2 linked regions of the Bombyx mori genome follow. The protein of the gene in region 1 interacts with the protein of each later gene in a pairwise test. Links are inferred from orthologs where the notes say so. Each region holds a gene or a part of one and is shown in the gene's direction. Other genes may lie near its edges.

Region 1 (3,834 bases):
GAATCGATCGGCGTCCCCATTGTTTAGGTAAGTGTCGGCGACTGACGAAGCGTGTCCGTCCCGAACATTGAGAGCTTTGAGTGTTTCATGTTTGCACCTTGGACTTGCTATGTGACTATCGAACGACGCTAGCTATTTCGCTCAGATAACCTCTATCATCTTTCTTGTACGATTGCGACGGGACTTGCCGAATTTTGTTAGTTATAATATTTAAATTTACAGCAAAGATTTAATGTTTAAAACAAATGCAAGTCCGGTTGCAATCTACGGAGCACAAAGACTCTTGGTGTATACATTTTGCTAAAACACCATCTTGGATTACACAGTCACATAAATCGTTAAATTTTTTAAAGAAATTATAAAAAAGATGAGGTCACACGATACGCCCCCACATGTATCGAATAGGGAAAATGCGAAATAGTTTTTTTTGTTTTTTGTATTATTATTTTTTGTTTTTTCTTTGTTTTTCGTTTAATCTATCCAATTATCTATCCTATCTTTATTTTTGTTTAACCTAACCCGTGAGGTCTAATCCAGTGAGGCTCCACACGTAATTAGCACACACGAGTGGGTAGGCTGACGTACAAATACACGCAACATAGACTTGCACAGAGCCCGCGGTGTCGGTGAAGTGTGATCCAAGATTCGGGTGGTTGTCTGTGGTCACTATATATGTTGGGTGTATTGTCTGTTTGCTAGATGCCTGCCCTCTTCCCCCTTCTCAATTAGACCACAACACATGCGCCAGTAATCCAGAACAGGCGAATTCTCAGGTAAAAATTTACCGTTTAATAAATCGAACCCACAAAAACTACTACTTCAGATAAACTAAGCAATTATACTAGTCTTATTATGTTCAACTATCACTTTCATATATTTAGATGAATTATTGTTTTCTCACTGTTTCCTTTCTTCATTTTTATTTTAATTTTTTCTCTATAATATTTTATCGTTACGTTTCACGCTGCGCTCAGTGTACAGATGAGGGCGTTTTTAAATGAAACTGATCGCTAGTACTTGGTCCTTTACTATTTACATATTATTATATTTAATAACGAACGGAACCAGAATATAGACACATTAGCTCTCATAACATATGCTGACCAGTTTCTATAAGTACTCAACATTAACACTGTCGCATACTTCACTCACATTGATTTACAATAGCTCAATCACCATCTTTTTAAGTGACTGCATAAGCATTCGAGGCCTGTCAATGTGGTCTACACGATTACAGCGTTTTATTTTAACTTGTCAATGACATGCCTATTTGTGTGTACTTCGGTCCGAAGTACTTGCATTAATCGGGTAGTATATTATAACACGTTCTCACAAATGCTTTCTGTTGTAGTTTATCAAAGCATGAGATGCATGTCTCAATCTCGATCAATAATTAGATCACGACGCGGCGACGCGTTTATAAAAGTAAGAATAATTTTGATTTAGTATCTTTCACTCGCTTGGTGCATGGAAACGGCATGTTCAGTCAAAAGCACGAAATCCAACGCGTTCTTAATGTTGTCTGTACTACAAGTGATATAAATAAATTTAATCTCAAGATAAAACATCAAAATAAACAGTTTGAAAATAAAATTTCAAAAAAAAAAACAGGTACGAATTAATTTATTACCAGAAATTCCATTTTATGCTTCTTTTCCCTGTTGGATTGGAAACGATGTAACCGTACTTATTCTACTCAGTAAATTCTAACGCATCGATATGGCAAGTATCGTGACATATCGTTCTTTCAAAGTAAAATTATCATAGATGTCACATTCTCTATTCAAATTTAACTATTCTGAAGCACATAAATTGCAAAATAAATTTTTTCACAGGCAAAAATTTAATTTTTTCACATTCCTGTTACAAAAATAGGGTTGTGGTTGTACGATGAAATAATAAATAATTGGCAACAGGCGAGGGGGAGAGGCGCGTCGAGCGGACAGCCCCCGAACACGATCGCGCGAACGAGCGCTGGTAATGCGGGCACCCCCACCGTCCAGTCGCCCGGCAACGCACCCCCCAGCGGACCCCCCACCTCCAACAACTCCGCGAGCACTCCGCTTAATGCGACCGGGCCCACTAGCACAACGACGGGGGGTCCTACGGCGCAAACAACTACCAGACGCGGAGGTCCAGCGGTCGTGCCTTCCGCGCAGCCCCTCACGCCGGCGCAGCCCCCCTCATCCCAGCCCAACCTGATGCAGAAGTTCTCCGAAATGACGGCACCCGGTGGCGACATTCTTAGTAAAGGCAAAGAACTGATCTTCATGAAATTCGGTCTCGGTGGTAAATAATGTCGGTCGCAGGGGGTCGCGGCGTGCGACTCCCGCCGCGCTGTCTCGTCCACTCCCCCGGTGCCCTGGTACTGGCTGGTACTCCTGCGGCTAATCCAAACTATCTATCCGGCTCTTCGTGGAGCTTGTATTTAATTTAGGCATGTTGTAAATAGTTATATGCAATACACGCACAGTATAGTGGATATCTGATCGTTAGTGCTATCTCGGTAGATTCATGGATGGAGCTCAGACATCTGGGAATAGTTGTACCTATATCTAAAGCTTCTCTATCTCCGAAGTTTGCTCGTTAACTACTTAGGTTAGAAATAAATATGAATTATATCATTGTTATTGTTTATGCGATAGTAGAGTTTGACTTGTGTTATTTCTTGCGTAGAATAAGAAATTATAATGTTACCGTCTAGTTGTTACTTCATATTCCTTACGGTGTAGTCTTGTTGTAATTTTCTAATTTACGTTTTAAATCTAGCTAGCTGTGTGAATAGCCCTTGAAAATATTATAAAACAGCGGAACAAGAATGTGAACTTCCTCTAAAGTCTGATCTCACGGAAAAATTACGATTAGTTATTGTTGTTTATGATAAATGTTTTGTTAACGCTAATCTTTGTACAATGCTATGGTGCAACCGTCCCTTTTAAATAAACGGAATCGATTTAAAAAAATATCGATTGACTTTTAATCGACGTTCGGCGGTCATGATCGTCAATGAAAAATATTGTATGGAAAGCAGGAACACGTATTTTATTATTTATAGAAATTTGCAAAAGTGAAGTGTTGAAAAGTTTGAAAGCTAATTTTAAAAAAAATGACGTCATAATTTCACTTTCATCTCGATTCCATGCTGTCAGTAAAATTTATATACCTTAAAATCGATTAAGTAATTGAATCCCTTTAAGGTATAATAATTATTCTCGAATAGAAACTAAGATACTGTGATAGTAGACGTGATACCATCTATATTCTAATTGTACTATACATTTACTTCACACAAAACATTCTCGACTGCATTGGACAGGAAATTCGTTCGCATTTTTGCCATTTGAAATTGAACTTTATATTCGAAGAAGATGTACAATAACTTGTCATTTATTGTGGCAATAGATAATCGTGTATCGATAAGAACTATATTACGAAGGAAACTTCATATAATAGTTACTTTTCTTACGTATCCAAAAGCCGTAGACGTAATTAAACACGTCTAACGTTTAATCTGGTATTAGGTTCATAATAAAAAAAAACATTTATGACAAAGGCGAATTAACCCAATGACAAGACTGCTTGCATGGAGAAGATATTTTATATAAGTTATAAATCAATAATGCATCACTGATGTGTTTTGATTTCAAGTTAGAAATTCATTACCAAAATAATATCACGTACACTTAATTATTTTAATAAATGATCACCATAATAAATAATGTTTGACTGCGTAATGAATAATCGTAATCAAACATAATTCAGTAATTTATTCCGAGATAATTATAATATTCAATATGAAATGTTTAAGTAATTCTAAAAATTGTTGTACATATT
Region 2 (4,632 bases), on another chromosome or scaffold:
CTGGAAAAAGGTACAATGCTTTTTATTTCTTTCTTCTTATTTGCATACATAATTGAATATAACATATAGTACATAGTACATATTTGAATTCGTCCATAGATATCCAGGAACTTCTACTATTAAAGAAAATTTTGCGGGCTATTTAATGTTGATTGTTAATTATTATAGGACTGCGTACTAATTTTAACTTGTAATATAATTTAATATGAACGTACATTCATTCTACAACGAAGAAAGACTATATAGAAAAACAGAAATTTGAAAATATAATTTAATATGTATATGTAAGGAAAAAAACCTTTTAAAAAGATTTTTCTTAGACAAGTTCACTTACATGTCATTCAATGTCGAGAATAATTTAATCTTTCATAATAATATTGAATATTATTGTGTTAAATATTAATTTACGCAGAGATATTAAGGGCTTTAAATGTTGTTTTCATATTTATATTGCAGGTGAGTAATTATTTTTTTACATAAAATTATTATAATATTAATATTATATTATTAATATACACTCTCTGTATTGATATTAGAGAAAACGCAGTTCAGTCTATTATTTTCTGGAGTATTTGATGTCATTAAATACATAATTGAATATTAAAAGTAGAAGAGTACGAAAATAATAAATTTACTGATCTGACGGCGACATCTATTATTGAAGTAACTCAATTCTGTTAAGTTACGCTGATTTGTTTTAAAGTACAAGTATACCGCAATAGATGACGTTGTAATACAATCTTCAATCATTTCAATGAATTTATTTACTACTAGCGACCCGCCCTCGCTTCGCTTCGGAAACATTAAAACAAATATGAAACAAAACAAAAAAAAAAAAGTAACCTATGTTCATCAGGGACAATGTTGGCTTCTAATGGAAAAATAATTTTTCAAATCGGTCCAGTAGTTTCGGAGCCTATTCGAAACAAACAAACAAACAAATCTTTCCTCTTTATAATATTAGTATAGACCAGCTAACCCGGCAGACTTCGTAGTGCTTCAATCGATAAATAAAATACATAAACTTTTGGGGGGGACATTAAAAGAAAAACAAAGTTGATATTTTTATTTAATTCCGAGCATTTTCATATTTATCTACCTTTTAAACCATCTCTGGACTTCCGCAAATAATTCAAAACCAAAATTAGCCAAATCGGTCCAGCCGCTCTCGAGTTTTAGCGAAACTAACGAACAGCAATTCATTTTTACATATATATACATTAATATTTATTGCAAGTACATAGTCAGTTTTCTATCCAACTGTTTCAAAATAGTGTGATGTTATTACGCCCTGATGTACTAACGCCGTGAAACTCCACTTCAAAAGAGAAAAGAGAAACTCCAAATGATGTGCTCCTAATTTAATTTATTTCCAAGTGCACAGTGCTGTGGTTTCAGCAGCTTGAAATAACTTATTCTATTCTATGCACCTAAAGGATACCAAATTTATTTTTAGTACGTTATTATACTTTTTTTTCTAACAAATACCCATTTTCGTCACAAATCCTACATTGATTGTGTTCTGTGATCGAAATAAAAAATAGCGTTATGACTAGTATTTGCTATTCCTTCTCGTCTTTACAATTATATATTTACTAATGTAACATCTCTTATTCGCACACGCGCATAATTCACTCATTGATTTTAGTTTTTTTTTTCTATTATAGTACCTAATCTGCAAGCATGCTTCAGTAAGTAAATAATATTTGATTAACCACCGTGAAGTTCATTGCAGCTACGAATGTGTATTTTTAGTGAAACAATACTAAAAAAAACTGTCATGACTGACTTGCATGTGAGTTCCGCTAATATTTACTCACACGCATAAGCATAAAATTCAAACTCCCAAATCCTGTTTTGTATTAGGGTGACAAAAGCACGCTTGCGCTCTGGTCCCCATCGATGCGCGCGCATTTCTACTGTTTGAAAACTGTGTGCTATTACTGTCCAAGAGACATGTCTGGGTCGATAGAGTTGCAGGGAGCAGTCGCGCATGCGACATTCTCTCTGCTCAACAATCAGGTGTAGCGACATGGCCGATAGCGAGTTTGAAGAATTTCGACGAGTTTTTGATAGACTACCGCAACACATTAAGGCCCCAACGCCTTTTTACTCGTGAGTACAAATTTATTATTATCATTGACATACAACACGGGCCGCCTTTCATTTTTACGCGTATCGCAAGTGATACACTAATTCGCGTCACGTGAGCTGCTATGTTCTTTGGATTCCCTCTATAATTTGTCGCGCAACGGATTGTTTTAGATACATTAGTGATACACATGCTATCGTTGTATAGATTAGTGCCAAATGTTGGATTCGAAGATGAGTCACCTTCCTCGAAAAGTGAAGGTAGCCCCGAAGAAGACAGAGGATGTGTAGGCGAAACCGATGGTCGGTCATCTATTCCGGAAAATCCGGAGTCTCCACCGCCACCGGCAGACGCAGCAGACACACAACGCAGTCCTCGTCACCAGACGTTTACAAATGGCGAAAGGCGAAGGAGAAAACTCCCTGAGATCCCGAAACATAAAAAATGTAAGATCCATTATTGATGATATTTAATACATTTTCGTGTTCAATGCAACTGCGCGTAGCGATTGTGATCACTTTATTCTTTCAGGCCTAGCGATCGTTATTATCAGTAAAAACACTTATTTCGAGTCAATAAATTTATTTTCAAGCGACTAAAGAGAATATAATCACTACGTTAAACATTGAAAGTCAAATAAGAATAGTTTATTTTTATAGGAAAGGTCAACATAACAATCGTCTATGAACGCAAATTCCAAATCTGATTGTCTCGTTGTAACTCATATCCGGATTCAATGACCGAATTTGGTATCTAGGTGCACTTGTTCTTGCCTTACGCCTTAGTCTGCTCCTGGAATTTTAGGTTAGTCGGTTAGGTTGGTTGGTTTTAGGCTGGATGGTTTAGGTCCTTAATTTTTAATTAGTTAGTCCTTAATTTTAATCAGACCTAGCATTCCCTATACTATGATAACAATAGACTGATATACTTCCTTATTATATACGTATATACATTTAGATATTGAATACATAGACAGAGCATACAAACATGTTGATCACACAAATGCTTACCCGATGTGGGAATTGAAGCCAAGATCCTTGACCCAGCCGACAAGGGCGCTAGCTACAGCACCACCGAGCTAGTCACCTACTGATTTCTAAAATAGTTTTATTTAAAATGTTGAACTATTTAGCTCAATTGGTTTTAGTAAATTACTTTATTGTTGGAAAAAAATAATTAAAAACCTATTAAAAAAACTGACATTTTGCTAATTAAATATGCGATTATTAACTAACAATGAAGACTTGACCTAAATTTTCTAGATTGAATCAGAAGCTTTTTATTTATTTATTGCTTAGATGGGTGGACGTGCTCTCAGCCCAACTGGTGTTCAGTGGATCTCATAGACATCTATAATGTAAATGCGCCACTCACATTGAAATATAAGTTCTAAGGTCTCTGTATAGTTACAACGGCTGCCCCACACAGAAGCTTAATTAAGATATTAGTTTTTGAAATTCATCGTTAACTAGAATTACATCGTGGTTGTAAAAAAAATGTTCTTAATAAACTAGCTTTAACAATTAGTCCAGAACAGGTTCTTCCTTACTACCTATTAAAATACCTAAAACTTATAACATTTTATTAAGTCTTATACAAGATATGCAATTTTCGTTTTAATTCGATGAAATTTGCAACGACACTTTAAATTTAAAATGATTACCGACAGTGAGTTCTTGTGAGTTTCAAAATTTAAAGTTTCAAAAACACGTGTAACGGTAGGCACGACCCAATTTCGAAAGAATGATCACTCGCGAACTCCGTATTCCTTCATGTCCGTCTTAAGAGCATTATGGCATTGCTAGTTATATTTTAATTCCTTGTTTGTTTCTTATTTTCATAACTACAAATAGTTATATTATAAAAAAAAAGGAATGAAACCGATGTCAACAAAAGTCGTCTTCAGAGAGTTATTGGTTCAAGATAAGGCGTTTTGTTAATATGACCACGAGATTTGAAATCTCTTATGTGTATAAACGTAGTTTTCGAGAAAATCTAATAAAACTACCTCATGAAAAATATATTATCCGAATATTTTTTTAGCACATAGGATACTTTGATCTACAATAAAATCAATCAATCAATCAATCAATCAAATCAATCAAATCAAAAAAGTTTTATTCAACATAAATGAAAGTACATACTTGTTGAACGTCAAAAGAACTACCGCCAATTCACAAGAATTAGCCTCCGTCCTGAGAAGAATTGGCAAGAAACTCAGCAGGCATGTCTTTTTTTTTTTAAATATTAGATTATTTTTTTTTTAAATATAAGATTTTTTTAAATATTCATTTTTACAATAAGTAACTATAACATAACAATTATTACAATATTGAAATGCCCGGAGCGAGCAACTCATTCCCACTTTGTGCAATCTTCTAAATGCAAACCGACACTTAGAATTTTTTTTAAGATTGACGCGTAATAAAGTTAAATATTGAGATATGCAGATTGCTTTTGCTGAGTATAGGTATTCAAAATAACATTAATAATATATGAAAACATCATTTTGACCCAAAATGTCACATAGGAGATTTCAA

What was found.
Region 2: the proteins of RIMS-binding protein 2 (region 1) and JNK-interacting protein 1 interact in a two-hybrid assay, tested with the Drosophila melanogaster proteins (2 studies listed by BioGRID). The link is inferred for Bombyx mori from reciprocal best matches to the Drosophila melanogaster genes Rbp and Aplip1.

The regions. Positions count from the first base shown.
Region 1 is NC_085122.1:8,935,052-8,938,885, forward strand, and holds part of RIMS-binding protein 2, read left to right. Parts: intron 1-699; coding exon 700-773; intron 774-1,916; coding exon 1,917-2,297; 3' UTR 2,298-3,834.
Region 2 is NC_085107.1:7,555,627-7,560,258, reverse strand, and holds the start of JNK-interacting protein 1, read left to right. Parts: upstream 1-1,819; 5' UTR 1,820-1,993; coding exon 1,994-2,115; intron 2,116-2,299; coding exon 2,300-2,538; intron 2,539-4,632. UniProt on the Drosophila melanogaster protein: The JNK-interacting protein (JIP) group of scaffold proteins selectively mediates JNK signaling by aggregating specific components of the MAPK cascade to form a functional JNK signaling module.